3 linked regions of the Arabidopsis thaliana genome follow. The protein of the gene in region 1 interacts with the protein of each later gene in a pairwise test. Each region holds a gene or a part of one and is shown on either strand. Other genes may lie near its edges.

Region 1 (6,521 bases):
TAGCCATGTCGAATTTAGGAAGAACAACGATTGTCCATCCTAACGCGATTAGCCCCGTCGCGAAACCACCGAATCCGAAGATGTGACACATTGGGATTGTGCAAATGGTTCGCTGCTCTAAACCGAACCGGGCCCGGTATGCTTGTACCAATGCGATTAGGTTACGGTGACTCAGCATTACTCCTTTACTCGTCCCCGTCGTACCTGATGAGTATAACAGAGCCGCCGTGTCGTCCTGGTTGACTCGTTGCTTAACTCGTGACTCACTCGGTTCTGTTTCAATCATCGTCTCTAACCTCCCGACTAGTTTCACGCGGTCACCGTAACTTTGCGAAGGAACGTGGTAGTCGTCCATGAGAACCACCGGGAGATTAAAATTCGACGCGGCGGCGAGTTTGGAGACGAGTTTGCATGTGGTGAAGGCGAGAACAGGACGCGAATCGCCTATCTGTTTGGAGATTTCGTCGGACGTGTTGATCGGATTAGCGGTGGTTATGATTGCGCCGAGTGACATTACGGAGAGGGAGACGATCGGGAAGAGGATTGAGTTTGGAGAGAGTATAATGACGACATTTCCTTTGCGTACACCTAATGCGTAAAGACAACCCGCGACTCTTTCGACACCGAGCCAGAGCTCAGGGAAGCTTAGTCGACGACCGGTTACGGCGTCGACGAATACGGTTTTGCCGCGATGAGGCTGTGATGCAATGAAAGACGTGACGTCGAGAAATTGGTTTGGCGGGAGAGCCATTGGCTCACGTTTGCTGTAGAATATCGATGTTGATTCGCAGAAACCGCTTTTTCGATCTACCGCCAGAGTTCTCGATTCGATTTCGCTGCCGTCGCCGTCGACGCCGTGCTTAACCGCCATGTTAAAGGACTTTGGTTGTATCGAAAGCCTCTCGGTGATTGGTCGTTAGAGATTGGTAATTACGTCGTTTCTGATTTAAGTTTTATGACGTGGACTATATTATAAAAAAGCCCACTATACTTTGAGTCTTTGATCCATTACGCCTTTGGGCCTAATGCAAACTAATTATATCTGTCCTTGGAAATTATTCAACACTATACATATGTATACAGAAAAATATATACAATGATTACAGATTTACAGTTTTCTCTCTTATTGAAAAACAATACCATCAATAAAATTAAGAAAGTCTAGCAAATTTATCCTTTCAAAGTTTGGAAGTTGATAGTTTGATTAGATCTTTGCGAAGTGTTTTGCCGGATGCAGTCTTTGGTATGGAACTTATGAATGCAACCTTTCTTATTTTCTTATACGGTGCCACCTGCTCATCAAATTATTTACCACCCAAAAATAGTTTAACTTTTAAGTAAAACAATATATGATAAAGAAGATGTTGTACGTTTTGTGATTATAGAAGTACCTGATTAGAGATGAAGTCAATAACTTCTTTTTCGGAGAGATTGCTCTCGGGCTTTCGGGCTACATAAGCCATCGGATATTGTCCGGCTTCTCTATCCGGAAACCTGTACAATGCACAAAAGAAACAAACTACATGTTTTTCGATATTTGAATGGCAAAAATCATGGTGTTTTAGTTGTTAAATATTTTACGGAATAACAGCAGCATCAAGAATGTGTGGATGAGCGATCAAAAGAGCCTCTAGTTCAGCTGGAGGCACCTGCTTATCATATATTAACCATTAGATTTTCATTTTTAAGAAAATTTACACTATTAGTAAACATAACGATGATGAACCTGATAGCCTTTGTATTTGATCAATTCTTTCAGTCGATCCACAACAAATAGAAACCCATCTTCATCGATATAGCAGAGATCTCCAGTTTTAGCCATCCTTCTAGATTAATAGTTTCATTTGTAGCTTCTTCATTTCCGAAATAACCTTTAAAGCATATAAATGTTAGTTTAATTCAAAACTATGTCTTTGCCATGCAAAAAATTGTTTTCGTTTTGTCCCAAGACAGATTTAAGAGTGTTTCTTTTGTTATTCAATAGTATTGAGTTCACTTAAATAAGTTTCATTTAATTTGCAAATGAACTGAAGCCATTCTTCGGTTAGGGTGTCCACGTTACGAATACTAATCATATCGATGTATACAAAACTCAATTACTCACACCAAATCCAAAACCCATTTTACTGCTTAAAAACTTGATCATAATATTTGTTTTATAAATAATTTCCCAATAATAAAATGTCTATTTCAAATAATCTAATTATTGCCAAATATTTAGCGTTTATTAGTGTTTGTTTACCTTTAGAAATAGAAGGACCCTTGAGCCAGAGCTCACCGGGTTGGTTCACACCCATGACCCGACCCGTATCCGGATCCACAATCCTCGCTTCAATACCGGACGACAACAACCCAACCGCACCGTATTTCAGACTCTCCTCCACAGATTCCGTCGAAGCTCCTGAACCGTGCGACTCAGTCAACGCATATCCTTGAAAAATATTAACCGTTGGATATTTCTCTAGGAAGCTATCCATAACCTCCTTGCTCAACGGTGCTCCACCACACCTAACCTTTCTCAGGGAGGTCAAATCGTACTTGGCCTTGAGCTGATCTGCACCGTTAATCATAGCTACCAAAACCGGTGGAGCCAAACTCAGAATCGTGGCTTTGTACTTCTCCACCGCTTGCATCATATCGTCGAGCCCGAATCTCCGGAGAATCACCACCGTTGAACCCGATGCTACGGAGCCCATTGCGAACGCCAATAACCCGAAGGAGTGGAACATCGGCACGGTACATACGAATATCTCGTCTCGTTTCCATTTATCGTCGATGTATTTCGCAACGTAAGCTGTTAAATTCCGGTGAGACGAGATCACTCCTTTGCTCGTCCCTGTGGTTCCCGACGAGTAAAGCATCATCGCCGTGTCGTCCTGGTTGACTCGGTCTCTGACTCGTTGACCACTCGTTTCTTTCTTCATCATCTCGCTCAAAATCCCAACGACTCTGACTCCACTAGTGAGCTCCACTCGCTTCTCGTCTTCTTCGTCGGTGAGGACGACGGAGATTGCGGCTGCGAGTTTGGGTGCCAGCTGGCTCGTGGTGAAGACGAGAGTTGGATTACTTTGGGCGATCTGTTTGGAGATTTCGCCGGAGGTGTTGAGAGTGTTGGCGGTGGTGACGACGGCGCCGAGAGACATGACGGAGAGGCAAACGACGGGAATGTAGATTGAATTTGGAGAGAGGATGAGGACGACGTCGCCTCTTCGTATTCCGACTTCATGATATAGACAGTCAGCGACGCGATCAACGACTCTCCAGAGATCGGAGAAGGTTAAGCGGTGGCCCGTGGAGGCGTCGATGAAGGCGGTGGTGCCGCGTTGCGGTTGAGATGATATGAAAGTTGTGACGTCAAGCGACGGATTTGGCGGGAGACATAATGGGTTTCGCTTGCTATAGAATGTAGAGTTTGATTTGCAGAAACCGCTTCTAGGATCAACAATGAGATCTCTCTCAGGATACGCCATATTTCTTAATATGAAGCTCTTCTCTAAGTACAACTTCTCTAAACGATTAGTCTGTAATATGAATATGAAATATTAATATACCATACTATCTACAACATGTGTCGGATTATTAAATGATGTAGATAATATGATAGTTGATGTGGCCGACACAAAACAATAAGAATTGTGATGAGAAACACAAAATAATAATACAAAACATAAAGAACTTTTCATTGTAAGAATATTTTATCACAAGTTTGGTGAAGTCACGTGGTTCTCGTTCCTGAGAACTACCGGGAGATTCGATTTGACCGTCGCCGCCGTGCCTAACCCCTATGTTTTGTTTTGTTGGCTTCTATGTTCAGTTTGATGACGTGAGATTTTTTATTTGGGTAACCAGTGACCCATAACCAGGATTAGGTAACCTCAAAGCCCACTTCACTTGCCATATTGTCCTTGGGTCTAGCCACACACCAAATTTATCTTCTTGTTGCTCAAATCCAAACCAATTCCGATCGTCCATCCCTCTTTCTTTCTTTTTCTTCGGTTAAAAACTTAAAATGTTGAATTTCGGATTATTGATCTTGTAATAAGTCATAACACACACATTTGTTATATTATCTTTCTATTCACTTTTGGATATTATAATTTTGATAAGATATAAACTCGTGTTATCAGCAAATTGTCTACTACATATTTGATACTAGTGTCTTTAATTAAAATTATTCAGCATTATAGATATATTACAAATCTCTCTTTATTGAAATAAAAACGAGATTATTGAAAGAGAACATACATCCCAGTTATTTCAACTACAAGTAAAAGTGAGAATCTAGCAAATAAGATCCTTTCAAAGTTTAGAAGTAGCCAATTTGATTAGATCCTTGCGAAGCGTCTTACCGGATGCAGTTTTTGGTATGGAGTTTATAAATGAGACCTTTCTTATCTTCTTATATGGTGCTACCTGCTCAAAATTTTAGTAATCTTTTGAAACCAACTATCATAAAACTAATTTACCACCTAAAAACATTATAACAAGGTAAAGAAGAGAAGGTGTTGTTTTGTGATTTTAAAAGCACACCTGCTTAGAGATGAAGTCAATGACTTGTTTCTCAGAGAGATTGCTCTCGTGTTTTCGAACCACGTAAGCCATTGGATATTGTCCTGCTTCTTTGTCCGGAAAACTTTGCAGTACGTACACAAAAGCATACATACATGAACATGTTGTGTTTTACGTTTATAAGGCAAAAATCATGGCGTTTAAATTGGAGGAAAAAAAAAAGTTATGAAATATTTTACGGAATAACGGCGGCATCGAGAATGTCCGGATGAGTAATCAGAAGAGCTTCTAGTTCAGCTGGAGGCACCTGTTTATCAATTACTTATCGTTAGATCTTTATAATTTTAAAATTTCACTGTTTGTGAAAGAATGAAGATAGATGTTTATGAACCTGATAGCCTTTGTATTTTATCAGTTCTTTCAATCGATCCACAACAAAAAGAAACCCATCTTCATCGATGTAGCAAAGATCTCCAGTTTTTAGCCATCCCTCTAAATTAATGGTTTCATTTGTAGCTTCTTGGTTTTTAAAATAACCTTCATTTTACGTTTGTCAATTAATAAAGCTTACGTAACAAGGTATATACACAAACAAATCGGGATCTTTCACGTCGTCATTTTCCATTATATGGAGCTACCTAACTTTTTGAACTCGTACAAAAATGAAAATTCACTTATTCACACTAGTCCAAAAACCATATGCAAAATCCATCACTAGAAAAAACTTGGAAATCAAATACGAGTTCTTGCTATATTTGTTTCACAAAAAGTTATAAACTTGATCTCAATAACAATTTAATTTATCTTTATCTTATACATTGATTTGAAATGGTTAAGTTTTTGCCTTTGACCAAAAAAATGATCAAGTTATTACTTCTATCGCAAGCAAAGCAAAAACTATCTAGTGATTTTACCTTTAGAAATAGAAGGGCCCTTGAGCCAGAGCTCTCCCGTTTGGTTAATTCCCATGAACCGACCCGTATTCGGATCCACGATCCTCGCCTCCACATCAGACGTCAACGTCCCCGCCGTGCCATATCTCCGGCTCTCCTCCGCTGAATTCGTGAAAGCCCCTCCGCCGTTGGATTCCGTCAAAGCATACCCCTGCAGTATATCAACCGTCGGATATTTCTCTAGAAACCCTTCCGTCACCTCCTTGCTCAACGGCGCTCCACCACACCTCACCGTTTTCAGTGAGCTCAGATCGTACTTAGCCTTGATCAGATCTGCGTCGTTAATCATAGCTACCAAAACAGGTGGCGCCAAAGCCAGAGCTGTGGCTCGGTGCTTCTCCACCGCATCCATCATATCGTGGAGCTGAAATCTCCGGAGGATCACCACCGTTGAACCCAATGCTACGGTGCCCATAGCGAAGGTCAATAAACCGTAGGTGTGGAACATCGGGACGGTACAGATGAAAATATCGTCTCGTTTCAAATTATCCGATATGAATCTAGCCACGTGAGCTGTTAAATTCCGGTGAGACGAGATCACTCCTTTGCTCGGTCCCGTGGTTCCCGACGAGTAAAGCATCATCGCCGTGTCGTCCTGGTTGACTCGGTCCCTGACTCGTTGCCCACTCGGTTCTTTCTTCACCATCTCGCTTAAAATCCCAACGACTCTGATTGCGCTAGTGAGCTCCTGGTAAACTTCGTCGTCGGTGAGAACGACGGAGATAGCGACGGGGAGTTTTGGTGCCAGCTGGCGCGTAGTGAAGACGAGAGTTGGATTACTGTCGGCAATCTGTTTGGAGATTTCACCGGAAGTATTGAGAGTGTTGGCGGTGGTGAAAACGGCGCCGAGAGACATGACGGAGAGGCAAACAACGGGAATGAAGATGGAGTTTGGAGAAAGGATGAGGACGACGTCGCCTCTTCGTATTCCGACTTCATGATATAGACAGTCGGCGACGCGATCGACGGCTCTCCAGAGATCGGAGAAGGTTAAGCACTGGCCTGTGGCAGCGTCGATAAAGGCGGTTTTGCCACGGTGTGGCTGAGAGGAGATGAATG
Region 2 (7,643 bases), about 16 Mb from region 1:
TTGGATCGGCGCCGGAGATTTCAAGATGGAGACATGTGTGTTTCGTTTTCTCCGATTCAACCATTGTTTCGATCTCGATCAAAGTCGCCGATATTCGGTTCGTGTTTCCAAAAATATTGAAAGATCGGAATATTCGATTTGCGACGAAACACAAGGTCTCAATGGGCCGTGATTTAAGTTAAAAGCCCATCAGGCCCAGTAAAAGCTTATCTTCCCATAGCGCGCTTAACGATTTTGATTTTGAATTTGAAAAGAAGAGGAAGCAAGAGGAAATGGAGGATTCAGGTGCGATTCTATGTCAAATCTCCATTTTCAAGGACATGCTTGATCAGGTTTCACTATTCTTCATCTTCTTCACTGGATTGGTATCTCTCGTCTTTAGCTTAATCTGAGCTGTGATCGAATGAAACAGGTCAATCGGGAAATCGAAGCAAACATTCAGGTCACGCGAGAGATCGAATCACAGATCGGAAATTGTTCTGAGACGGAATCGGCTCTGTCTGTCAAAGAAGCTGAGCTTACTAAATCGTTCCTTGCTTCTCAGTTCGAGATCAATGGTTTGATCTCCGTTACAGGTTTCTGAATTTGAGTCGCTTCTAATTTCTGAATTTGTTTTTTGTTTCTGTGTTGTTAAATCTCTATCACTATGTTTTATTTTCTTAAAGCTGATTCAAGAAACTCTCTGAAGCTATTGGAGGATGAGATTTGTCGTTTGAGAAATGAGCATAGTGAGCTAATTACAAGACTAACCGAGAAGCGGTAAACATCGATTGTGTTGTAAACAAGCATTTGTGTTCTTGATCCTCTGATTGATAAAGCATTGCTTATGGAATTTTTTTACACAGGGAAGGTTTTGTGAAGATGTGTTTTGGGTTTCAAAGGGAGATTGAAGACAGTGAATTCAGGAATTTATTGTTGGAAAGAGAGTTTCTCGACAACGAAGTTCGGATGTTGGAGGAGAAGAACTTAGATGTGAAGAACTCTATTTTGGCTTACATGGAAGATGAAATGATGAATCTATTATCTGATTAGTGTTTCTGGTCACATTATCTTCAACACCATGGATCATTGGTGCACCAGAATGGAGGTTCATGTATACAAAAAATATGTTACAAAAAGAATAAAAGGTGAAGTTTGTTATCAACGCCCTAAGATCAAACATCATTTCTTAACGCCCTAAGATCACAGACTTTGTCATCTCATTCACAGTGATCAAATCCTCAGACGATGATTTGTCATCTCTCCTGTGCACTACAAATGTCGGTTGTTCTGGTGGTGGAAGATCTGATGTTGTGGTGAGCATAGACAGCAACTCAAGTGTGTTGGGTCTATCTGCAGGTTGGTGTTGAACACAGAGCAGACCGATCTGAACACATCTCTCAACTTCCAGTGGGCGACATGAATCGGCGACATCTTTGTCCAAGAGATCAATTCCTCCAGTATCACACCAAGATTCCCACGCCTGTTGTTCAGATTCAGGTCTTAAGAATATAAAAGCAAGAAACGTTTTGAGACATTTGCAACTGTATGAATACCTAAAAGTTGTACTTACATATGCAATAAGGGTTTTTTCTTCTTTGCCATAGCTGAATCTTGAGATCTTCTCCCCGCTTATGATTTCTAACATTAGAACTCCAAAGCTATAGATGTCGGACTTTTCAGAAAACATCCCAGTCCATGCATACTCAGGAGCCATATATCCTCTGTGCGAACATCGAATAGTTTCACCCAATGTTTAATAAACGATTATGAGTTTATGACTATGAATCTTGTTAACAATGTTATGGAAAATAGAGTCTTACAGAGTTCCTACAACCCTGCGAGTATTGTCCTGATATTCGGTTCCCTGATACATCCGAGCCAATCCAAAATCTGATATCTTTGGATTCATCTTCTCGTCAAGAAGAATATTGCTAACCTTCAGATCTCGGTGAATAACCTTGAGGTGTGAGTCACGATGGAGATAGTGAATTCCACGCGCAATACCTTGAATGATATCCAATCTCTTTGGCCAGTCAATCTCAAGCCTTTTTCTTGAATCTAAGCGACAATATAGAGTATGAACAATCAGATAAGACAGTTCCATGTAGAGAAAAAGTTGCTGATAGTAAAGGAATGAAGCAAGAAGGAACCCACCGAAGAGAAAGGTATCAAGGCTATTGTTCAACATGAACTCATAAATCAATAGCTTCTCTTCTCCTTCAATGCAACATCCCAAAATCCGAACTAAGTTTTTATGTTGTAGTTTTGAGATGAGTACTATTTCATTCATGAACTCCTCTTTGCCCTGGCCCGAGCTGCTAGAAAGCCGTTTTACAGCAATTTCTTTCCCATCTTGCAGCTTACCCTGAAACACATTGCATAAGGTCATCTGGAGAGCATAAGCAAAGAATAGAAAAGAGCAAAGAGGTTAAAAATTCTCTAACCTTATAAACAGGGCCAAATCCACCTTGTCCGAGTTTGTTTGATATACTGAAATTATTGGTGGCAGTTTGAATGGTATGCATATCAAAGAAATCTAAACCTGGGACATCTTGTGGTTTCAGATCATTCCTCCATGAAACTTGTGAAGCATCCGTTGTTATATCAGCTGAAACTAGTGTTTCAATTATAGATAATATAGGTCATCAGTGTCTTACCAATAGCAAGAAAATGAGTACTGTAAATAAAGAAAAGAAATCAATAGAGAGGGAGTAAGATCATCAGTTTTTACCATTATGTTTCACTCTATATCTCCAGAAACAAAACGCAACAAACGCAATTATCACAACAAGAGAAAGGCTCACAATACTAGCAGTAATGGCCTTCTTGCGCTTATTTCCACCTGTGACATATAAGACAAAAACAAATTAAACAATAAGCCATGCTGCTTCCGGTAAGAAGAGTATCAATGGAGTTGTAGATAAAGTTGTAAACGAAGTAATTCTTCCGTGTAATCATTTGAGCGCCATACCTAGTTCAGAACGTGCCAGACGAATGGAGAGAAGTTCTCCTCCTTCAGAAAATTGCACTGCGTCCATTAGGTCTTGGTTCCACATTAAGCACCCAATTCCATCGATATAAGCAAAGGCCAAGCAAGAACAATTGTGGAGGCAACTTTTCTGGCATTCTTCAACATTCACAAAACTTGCAAATTCGTAAAAGTCTGGAGGCTTTATCCTGGCAACAGGATGGAACACGTTTGCATATTTGCCAGTAGAGTTTCCTTGACAATATAGTTCGGTACGCCTCACACAACCACCAGTCCAGTTTCCTCTTTTCCACTCCTCAATGAGTTTAGGAACAAACCCTTTGAAACACGTACATTTTGGAGGAACAGACTTCACACATAACCCAAAAGGTCCACATACACCGTAGTAATCACATGAGTGTTCTGGAGCCACAAAGTTCAATACCCAGTCCGTCCCATTATGCCAAGACAACTCCTGTGTGCCCTTTGATGTTAGCATTGTACGTTGAAGTCTATCGTTTCTGTTTAAATAAGTGAGAGATCCTGACCCATTTGTATCCTGCTGAACGCTGACTGGACCTGTAAATGTGTCATCCATTAGCGGTATCCCCGTGAACCTTGTTTTAGCCCATGGACCGCTTCTATAATAAGGCGTTGATCCTTTCGTAACAAGCACCTGCGTTGGCACTTGTGGCGTAATCTGAAGCACAAAGTCGCCAACCGATGGATCAGTGTAACTTTTCCAAGAACTCAACACCTGCTTCTCGCCAGTGGCGAGGTTATACTTCAGGGTTGAGGAAGGAAGCATAGTATCACCAAGATGGTCAAAGCTTTGCCATAGAGTTCTTCCCGAAAAATTGTCTATGACAATAAGATTTCCGGTGTCTGAAAGCTCTGCACGAGACCCGTTAGAAACAAGAGCTTCTCCACTGGACCATGCAACGCCATGTTTGCCATTAAATAACAGAAGACTTCCATTGTTGCTGATAGCGAGATTTGCCGTGGAATCTGTAACAGGCTTTTCTCTATTGGCCACCCACACAACCACCCGGGGAATAATACCCTTGAACCAGATTCCGACATACTGATTCTGGGAGTTATTAAAATTGAAGAACCCCAGTTCATAAAAACCATTAGAGGAGCTGAGAGTTTGTCCTATTGGCAAAGGACTTTCTTTCGTTATCCCTGCAGAGCTAGAACTTATAAAGAAGCTAGATAAGAGCAAATAAGCAAAGAACACGATCCACTTCTTCCCCATATTTGTTATTTCTCTCCAAAAACTATCTTTTTTAGATTAGCTTTACATAAAGCGAGAAAGCAAGAAAAAAAAAAAAAAAAACTCTCTTTGCACATTTTTTGTTTTGTCAACTCAGGGACTGACTTGTGAGAATAATACAGAACAAAAATCATGCGTTATTTAATAATCTTTACTAATGTTCCAAAAATCATGCGTTATTTGATAATAGAGAACAAAAGTGTCAAAGCACGAATAAGTCCTTACCCAATCAGATACGCAACGTTGTCATTGTTCAATGCTATCAAGAACAAAAAGAAGAAGACTTTGGTTATCAAAGACTTTAGAATAAGTTACTGCAAATTTTCTTCTATTCCATTCAAAGACAATCATTTACTTAAATACACAAAAAAGGTGTTCAGAAAGTAACTGCTCACTAAACAAATAACAACGTGAATGAGTGGGAGACAATTCCAAGTCCTTATTAGCTCTGCATCAATAATAGAAACAATGCATACATGATAGATTGGCACGAAGAAGTCCTTACCCAATCAGATACGCAACGTTGTCATTGTTCAAGTCCTTATTAGTTCTGCATCAATCGAAAGAATCCAATCCTTGCTTCACCATTACAACACAATAACTTTCTTGAAATGCAGGCTATGTTTTATCTCGTTTAGACATTTCCTCGAACACTTGCAGTGCATAAAAAAAACCTCCGAGCCTCGCTAATGTCGTTAGACCCGTAATGACCCTAATCGACTGATTCCCAACTCCAACCATATGGGCTTAACTGTTTCTGTCCAAAAGAACCGAAGAATTCAACAGTCAACATTGGTGTGCCACTAGGCCCGAGAATAATCTCCCGGGAAGTCTTAAAATGAAGTAGAGTCAACGATTTGTTTTTGAGCAAAGTATTTTGTCAATTTAGTGGGAAGTGGAATCATGTAATCATGCCTAATAAAATATACCTTAGTCAATTTTACCAAACAGTTTCCACATAGATAAAAAGTTTCTGAATAATAAAGGAAGGGATGTAATTTTACAACCATTAGAAATTTTGATCCTTATAGAGAATAATTCCAATTCTACAGTTTCAACGTCCTTGGATCACAGACTCTGTCATCTCATTGACAGTGATCATCGAATCATTTGACGGTGATTCGTCTTTTCTAGTGTGCACTACAAATGTGGGTTTTTTGGGCAGAGGAAGATCTGATGTTGTGGTAAGCATAGACAGCAACTCAAGTGTGTTTGGTCTGTCTGCAGGCTCGTGTTGAACACAGAGCAAACCAATCTGTACACACCTTCCAACTTCAGATGGGTGACTAGAATCAGCAAGAGCTTGGTCCAAAAAATTAACTTCTCGGGTTTCACACCAACATTCCCATGCCTGTTTTTCAGTTTCCACTCTTAAGAATATCAAAGCAACAAACCTTTTGCAACCTCTGCAAATGCATGAAAACATAAAGTCTTACTAACATATGCAAGAAGTGCTTTTCCCTCCTCGCCATAGCTGAAACTTGAGATCTTCTTTCCGCTGATGATTTCTAACAACAGAACTCCGAAACTGTAGATATCGGATTTCTCAGAGAATACGCCAGTCCATGCATACTCAGGAGACATATATCCTCTGTTCAAAGATCAAATAGTTTCACCCAATTTAATATATGACTACCAATCTAGTTTAATATGTTATCAAGGGATGGTTCTTACAGAGTTCCGACAACCCTGCGAGTTTTTTCCTGATATTGGGTTCCCTGAAACATCCGAGCCAAACCAAAATCTGATATTTTCGGGTTCATTTTCTCATCCAGAAGAATGTTGCTGACCTTCAGGTCTCGGTGAATTACTCTGAGGCGTGAGTCACGGTGGAGATAGAGAAGTCCACGTGCAATACCTTCAATGATCTCAAATCTCTTTGGCCAATCAAGTTCGAGCTTTTTTCTTGCATCTAAGTATACAAGCTATCAGATAAGAAATTCCAGATATAAAGGGGAAAACTACACGAAAGGGGTAAGAAGTGACCCACCAAAGACAAAAGTATCCAGGCTTTTGTTTTTCAAGAACCCATAAATCAATAGCTTCTCTGTTCCTTCGACGCAGCATCCCAAAACCCGGACTAAGTTTCTGTGTTGGAGTTTTGATATCAGTACTATTTCATTCATGAACTCCTGTTTGCCCTGCCCAGAGCTGCTAGAAAGACGTTTTACCGCAATTTCTCTTCCATCTTGCAGTTTTCCCTGAAACAAGTTGCAAATGTCATGTCAAGAAATGACAGAAAAGAAAAAGAGCAAAGAGGATAAAACGTTTCTCGCCTTGTAAACAGAACCAAATCCACCAGGACCGAGTTTGTTTGATAGACTGAAATTATTGGTGGCAGTTTGTATGGCATTCATCTCAAAAAATTCTAAACCTGGGACGTCTTGTGATTGCAGAAAATTCCTCCATGCATCGTTTGATATATGAGCTAAAATATGGGTTAGAATATGTGTGTCAGTGCCAAGTGAGTATATTCAGAGTTTTTAAAACAGGCCGAAACCAATGTACCAGAAAAATAATATACAAGTCAGTCAATTTAGTAGTGGAAAAAACACCTTTTTATTTAACGATATCTTATAACAAATGTAACAGAGCAATTTTATTGACAACCAAATGATTAGATGAACAGTGAGAGATTGTTCGATAGTAAAGTCATCAATGTGTTACCATTATGTTCCACTCTGCATCTCCAGAAACCAAATGCAGCAAATCCAAAGATCACGAATAGGGTCAGGCTCACTGTACTAGCAACAATGGTCATCTTGCGCTTATTTACATCTGAGGAATTTAGGATAAGAATTGAACAATAAGTCATGCTTCTATCGAAAACATCAATATCAAAGAAGTGGAAGATATAATTACAAAAGATACAAAAGGTCCTTGAATTATATTGTAAGTCATACCTAGCTCAGAACGTGCAAGACGAATGGAAAGAAGTTCTCCTGCTGCAGAAAATTGCCTTGTGTCCATTAGATCCTTGCTCCACATTAAGCACCCTATTCCAGGAATATAAGAAAACGCCAAGCAAGAACAATTGTGGAGGCAATTTTGGTGGCATTCTTCAGCATTCTGAGAATTTGCATACTCGTAAAAGTCTGGAGGCTTTATGTTGGGAACAGTATAGAAGACATTTGCATCTTTGCCACTGGAGTTTCCTTGACAATGTAGTTCGGTACGCCTCACACAACCACTAGTCCAGTTTCCTTTCTTCCACTCCTTAGCGAATTTAGGAACAAAACCTTTGAAGCATTTACATTTTGGAGGAATTGATACAACACAAAGCCCAAAAGGTCCACATACGCCATATATATCACATGAATTGGCTGGACCCTCGTAGGTTGATTCCCAGTCCATTCCATTATGCACTAAGACCTTCATTGTTCCCTCTGATGTTAAAATCATGCGTGAAGGTTTGCC
Region 3 (5,580 bases), about 18 Mb from region 1:
GTACAATTGGGTACAGACCAAATGTCTTCTCCACTACTCTCTCTCACCTCATTGCCACTAATTCTCCTCACCTCATCATCCCTTTTGTCTCCATTAGAGGTCAATCTTTTAAAACTCAAAGATTTCGCTTTTGTCTTTATATCTTACTTTTGTGAGATTCAAAGGGATGATCTTTGTTGTGTTGAGTTAACAGAGAGGTTGAAAGAGAAGATAGAGGAAACATTTGGGTGTGAGTATGAGCTTTTTATTGAATTCACAGGTTTGATTAGGTTAGTCTCTCTCCCCTGTCTCTTTAACAAAACAAGTCAGGAAAAAAGAGTAAATATTGATTCTTTGTTTTGAATCAGTTGGTGCAAAGGAGCTAGCATTGGTTGGCATAGTGATGATAACAGATCATATCTAAAACAAAGAGATTTTGCGGTTCGTATTCACTCTCATTTTTGTAATCTATAGACGTCCTTGTTGATATTGTGGTTTATGTGTGTATGACTTTGGTTTTTAGTTGGTTTGAAGGCAGTTTGTTACTTGAATAGTTACGAGAAAGATTTCATAGGCGGTCTTTTTCGTTTTCAGAGTGGTGAACCAGTAACCGTTGCTCCATCGGCTGGTGTAAGTATTGTTCTTTTTCAGTTGGCTTAGTGGTTACTTAGATTGAATAATGAGTTTGTGTTCTTGAGCAGGATGTTATCATGTACACAGCTGATGACCGGAATATTCACTCAGTTGATGAGGTAACAGATGGAGAAAGATTGACTCTTGCACTCTGGTTTAGCCGGGACTCATCACATGACGAAGATTCCAAGCTTCTTTCTCGTCTTTCACAATGTACATCACATGAAGTGTGCCTCCCTTTGCCTGCATCCACTAACATGTACTGGTTCTGTCCTCATCAAGATGGTTCTAATCAAAACATAGGTTTTGATGTTTGCGTTGCGAGGTTGCATCTTCTTGGTTTTGATGTACATAGCTTACAAGGCGAAGATCATTCTACGGATGCCTCTGAACAACTTATGGGACCACTACAATTAGCTAAAGGAGGAAAGTTACTCACCCGAAAATTTGCCAACATTCTTCATGCTCTTCAGGTACTTTTCTCTTTGACATTCACATGAGTTTCTTCGAGGTCGTTAGTGATTAGTTGATATAGTAAATGTCTTGTTAAACGGGCTTCCTTTCATCATATATAATCAAATGCTTATTTCTTCTCTTTTGCTGGATAATAGGTTGTTCAGTTCTACCATTGGAAAGCTTCTGAACTCGTAACTTCTAATGTCGAAAATGACACATTAGAAGAGGTGAAAGCTATGTCCCACTCTCAGTTGGAAACTATCAATGCCCTGAAATCAGTTTTCCTGCTAGATGAGAACCTCGTAGCCACAACTTTTGGATATTCGTGCTCTGGTGAGGATCGAAAGGATTCACTCGACTTGACGGGTATAGCTCTCGCGGTTACCTCTTGGGAAGAGTATAGCTGTAAGTTACTCAAGGAGCTATTATCATCCTTGCCTCAATGGAAAACTTATCAAACTATACACAAAGTGGAATCTGATTAGAAATGAATTCTGAGTTACTGTTGAATTGAGTAGTTAACAACTTGAAAGTGATTCTCTTGGCTTCAAAGAACAGCTTCTCAATTATCTCTTTGTTTGATCTTACACATAATCATGTTATAATATCCTTCAAGATTGTTGCAAGTAATTTTGTAAGATACAGAGAATCAAAGTTAATTTTGGGATTGGATACAGAAAGAGATCTCAAACGTTGGGGCCTAAAAGAGAGAGGAGAAAAGTCCTGTAATGACTAGTTGTATCAGAATGAACAGCATTGTACAAAGTCTTCTTGTATCTCTTACGGTATTCTGTGATGATGAACTGCATATCCACCTCTGCTCTCGTCACCACGATTCTTATCAACGCCGTGTCATCTGTTCCTAATCCTTTCATTGATTTCCTCAATGCCTGCGCTTTCAGTTTTCGTTTTGTAAACTCGAAACCCTACATTGTTGTCTAAGAAAGGTTAGGTTACGTTACCTTTGCGAAATAGAAACAAGAGTTTTCAGCACATTGTAAAATTGTTAGAAGGACATGCTCGAAGTTCCCGCGAGTCTCATCTCTTATGGCCTATCAAGATTGGAGAAAGAGAAGATCAAGATTTTGGAAATTTTCTGATTCTTGAGTAACAAGTTTCTGGATCTTGATTATATACCTTTCCAAGTTCTTTGCCGTACATGGAACGGTAAGTAGATCTTACAGCGACCAAATGAGTCCTGCTTCGGTCAGTGAATATCTGAATCAACGTCTGGTCATCAGATTTATGCTTCCTTGCAACCGCGCTCTTGAGAGTCCTAGCATCGTTCTCTACACTCGCATTATCGATCTCTGGTCCTTCATATCGCGTAGTGTTCAAATACGCGAGCAAAACCTGTTACATATTACAATTTCTATTACTATTTGAACCAAAAGCATGGATCAAATAGAGAAAACATACTCTTTTGTGATTGCCAGAAGCTTCGGATTCGATGTCCTCTTCAAGTTTCACACCGAAAGTGTTTGAGTAGACCTGTTTGATCTGACGAAGCTGAGAGCCAGATCGTGTGCATATAATCTCAGCAATCGCTTTATGATCAGTCACGGCTCCTCTTAAGGAGCGTTTCAGTATTGAAGCGTCTCGCTCCACTGCTTCAGGCATCCACAAAAGAACGGCTTTCTGAAATCAAAAACGTTTTCAAAATGTTGTCTGCTAAAATCATGAATAAAAGTTTTTTTGTAAGGCTAAGATTTATTTACCTTGAGATGACCATGAAGCTCAGAGTGGAGACGTTTTCGGAGGTCATCCGAGAATTTGGTTTCGTATTCTTGTTCGATGAGAGCTCGTTGTGTTGCATTGCGATGAGCTAAGATGTTGATGATCACCGAAGTATCGCAGCCTCTTCCTGCAAATTGCGAAAATATAAACTAAAATGTAACAAAACAAGTTGTTATAAACTACATAAGAAGCGAATGCGTACGTACCTTTGAAGGCCTTAAAGAGTTGGTCAGCATCGACTCGAGGAGAAGGTACCGTCATTGGTATTTTCATTGTTGCCATTTTTTCTTTCTTCCTCTAAAGATTCCGAAGAAGATATTGTAAAACTCTATACCTTTCTTCTTTCTTTTTTTTGTTGTATTCTCTTGATTTTGTTTTTTCTTTTGTTTTGTTGGTGTGGTGTGATTTGTGGCGATTGGGTTTTGGGTTGAAATATGCAAAGGAAATGGACATTAGACCTTGATTTTAGGAGTTGAATCCTCTGTTTCATTCGTGTAACGATGGATGCTTTGATGCATAAAATTTAACGGATAACATTTTTTAGGATCCGATAGATATCTCTATGTTTCATGATTATCATCAACATAAAGACTTTTATAAGAGTTGTGTAGAGTCTGTAGCCTAGTAAAAGGGGGTTTTCGACTTAATTTCGAAACAATGGGCCAAAACTACAAATTATAAAAAGATCTCCTAAGGTTTATTACTTTCCCCAAATGGATGTTGTCACTTTCGGAATCATAATCGGAATTATCATTCTCTTCTTCTGCATCGTCTGCTTCATCACTATTGAAGGCACTCGCTTCAACCGTCGCTCTTCTTAGCTCACTCAGAGATGTCGTTCTCGCTGAGAAAGCTACTGGTTCCGATTCTGGTTTTGGTACTGTTTCTGGATCTGTGCGTTGAATCCGGATTCTCTCAGTCAACGCCGGCGCGTGACGATCACGTGCATCATCACGGTGGTGGGTGTAGTCATTCTCATGACCACGACCACGACCACGATCATGATCATCATGTGAAGAAGACGACGGCGAAGGTGGAGATGAAGTTGCCGGAGGAGCTTGCTGAAGAGGAGGATATGAGATTATGTGGGTTTGGGCCTTGTCTTCATGATCACGATCACGAATCAAGTTCCACTCTTACGGGGTTTGGTAAATTTGGTTCCTTTAGCTACATTCTTCATTGGGTTTTACAAATCATTACTTGATGATTAGAATCTCTTCTTCTTGTTGGTTTTTGTAGCTCTGTGGCTTAATGCATTGGGATGCTCTCTTTTAGTTAGCTTGGCCTCACTCATCTGCCTTGTTTTGCTTCCCATTATGTTTGGTAAGCAATTTTTTGTATACCTATGAAAACCAAAAAGCATTGCTTTTAATTGTCCTGGAGAAAATGCTCTCTTTCGTTTATTCATGTGCTATAATGTGTTCATGAGAGTAACTGTTTCAAGTCTTATGTTGCAACTAACAGTTCAAGGGAAGCCATCAAAATGGTTCGTTGATTCTTTGGCTCTCTTTGGGGTAAGTCATTAGACTGACTACAGTAGCTTTTTCTTTGGCGGTGGTGGTTCTGAATGCAAGAAAAATATTTTAGCAATATCTATACACTGTGTTTCGTCGCAACTTTATCACTTGGATGAGTTGGAAATGTTAATAATATATGATCTGTTGATTCAGTTAATTTGTTTACCAGGCAGGAGCTATGTTGGGAGATGCTTTTCTTCACCAACTGCCCCATGCTTTTGGTACAGTAATGGACACAAGTTTCTGATCTCTTTTTTAGTATCTGCATTGTTTCATAATTTGGCTTTTATGCCTTCTCATTTTGTTTGCTTTTATATCTTCCTGAAGTGCAAAATATATTTATGGTTTGGCAGGTGGTGGCCACTCTCACTCTAATGATCACCATGAGAACCATGACCATCATGATCATTCTCATTCGGATTCGCCTTCACACTCACATTCTATACAAGATTTGTCTGTTGGATTGTCTGTTCTTGGTAAGTATCATAACACTTCCTCTTGTGTTTATTGAACAAAATATTTTGACAGAATTGACACTTTCAATCATCATTCTTAATTATCCAGCTGGGATTGTGGTCTTCCTTCTTGTGGAGAAGTTGGTGCGGTATGTCGAAGAAAACTCATCTGGGTCCAATACTTGGGGTCATCATCACCACCACCACCATGCAGGCAGTAAGAAACTGAAGGATGAAGGCGATCATAACAACTTGGACCAACAATCTTCTTCTGATGCAATTGTAAATTCATCAGAGAAAGTCTCTGGCGGCTCTACAGATAAATCTCTCCGTAAGGTGAGAACACACTTCTATGTAAATATTTCTACCTGCAGCAGATGAGTTTTGAGTTGAACTCAAGAAGCAAGCAGAGTACAAAAACAAGGAACACATTAGTTTTGGTAGAATTTCTGTTTATCAGTCTCTTGCGTGAATGAGAGGTTTAGCATACTTAAATGTGGTACCTTTTCAGCTACGAGCTTCTATTTCTTCTGTTATATGCAAACATCTATTCTTTGAGCTTCTACTTGAAGCCCGAGTAGGATTCATCTTGTTATGGTTTCTGAGTAAACTTATCTATTTGCAGAGAAAGACTTCTGCTAGTGACGCTACTGATAAATCAGATTCAGGAACAGAAATTACTTCCGATGGAAAATCGGACAAACCAGAACAGGTGGAGACGCGTTCTTCGAGCCTAGTCTTTGGTTACCTCAACTTGTTCTCTGATGGTGTTGTAAGTACGTGTTCCCTTTTGAAATATTAAA

The links.
Region 2: the proteins of AT1G20490 (region 1) and AT1G61420 interact in a protein complementation assay, tested with the Arabidopsis thaliana proteins (one large-scale study listed by BioGRID).
Region 3: the proteins of AT1G20490 (region 1) and ANN5 interact in a protein complementation assay, tested with the Arabidopsis thaliana proteins (one large-scale study listed by BioGRID).

The regions. Positions count from the first base shown.
Region 1 is NC_003070.9:7,096,203-7,102,723, forward strand, and holds AT1G20490 (AMP-dependent synthetase and ligase family protein), read right to left. Parts: upstream 3,691-6,521; 5' UTR 3,471-3,690; coding exon 2,243-3,470; intron 1,872-2,242; coding exon 1,756-1,871; 3' UTR 1,727-1,755; exon of another isoform or gene 1,650-1,726; 3' UTR 1,392-1,649; intron 1,293-1,391; 3' UTR 1,009-1,292; downstream 1-1,008. Other genes in the region: AT1G20480 (AMP-dependent synthetase and ligase family protein), read right to left, coding at 1-871; AT1G20500 (AMP-dependent synthetase and ligase family protein), read right to left, coding at 4,300-4,413, 4,531-4,633, 4,749-4,816, 4,901-5,046, 5,424-6,521. UniProt on the Arabidopsis thaliana protein: Carboxylate--CoA ligase that may use 4-coumarate as substrate.
Region 2 is NC_003070.9:22,659,389-22,667,031, forward strand, and holds AT1G61420 (S-locus lectin protein kinase family protein), read right to left. Parts: upstream 4,787-7,643; 5' UTR 4,209-4,786; coding exon 2,954-4,208; intron 2,825-2,953; coding exon 2,714-2,824; intron 2,597-2,713; coding exon 2,427-2,596; intron 2,348-2,426; coding exon 2,137-2,347; intron 2,041-2,136; coding exon 1,803-2,040; intron 1,704-1,802; coding exon 1,553-1,703; exon of another isoform or gene 1,463-1,552; coding exon 1,169-1,462; downstream 1-1,168. Other genes in the region: AT1G61415 (CAP-gly domain linker), read left to right, coding at 273-332, 413-575, 666-759, 846-1,032; AT1G61430 (S-locus lectin protein kinase family protein), read right to left, coding at 5,281-5,577, 5,667-5,817, 5,901-6,138, 6,217-6,427, 6,494-6,654, 6,894-7,004, 7,130-7,643.
Region 3 is NC_003070.9:25,517,688-25,523,267, forward strand, and holds ANN5 (annexin 5), read right to left. Parts: upstream 3,209-5,580; 5' UTR 3,088-3,208; coding exon 3,012-3,087; intron 2,933-3,011; coding exon 2,787-2,932; intron 2,707-2,786; coding exon 2,488-2,706; intron 2,422-2,487; coding exon 2,206-2,421; intron 2,121-2,205; coding exon 2,031-2,120; coding exon of another isoform or gene 2,022-2,030; exon of another isoform or gene 1,959-2,021; coding exon 1,755-1,958; 3' UTR 1,618-1,754; downstream 1-1,617. Other genes in the region: AT1G68080 (2-oxoglutarate (2OG) and Fe(II)-dependent oxygenase superfamily protein), read left to right, coding at 1-99, 194-269, 348-420, 514-609, 681-1,085, 1,224-1,553; IAR1 (ZIP metal ion transporter family), read left to right, coding at 3,638-3,953, 4,045-4,128, 4,270-4,319, 4,492-4,543, 4,676-4,798, 4,887-5,113, 5,403-5,549.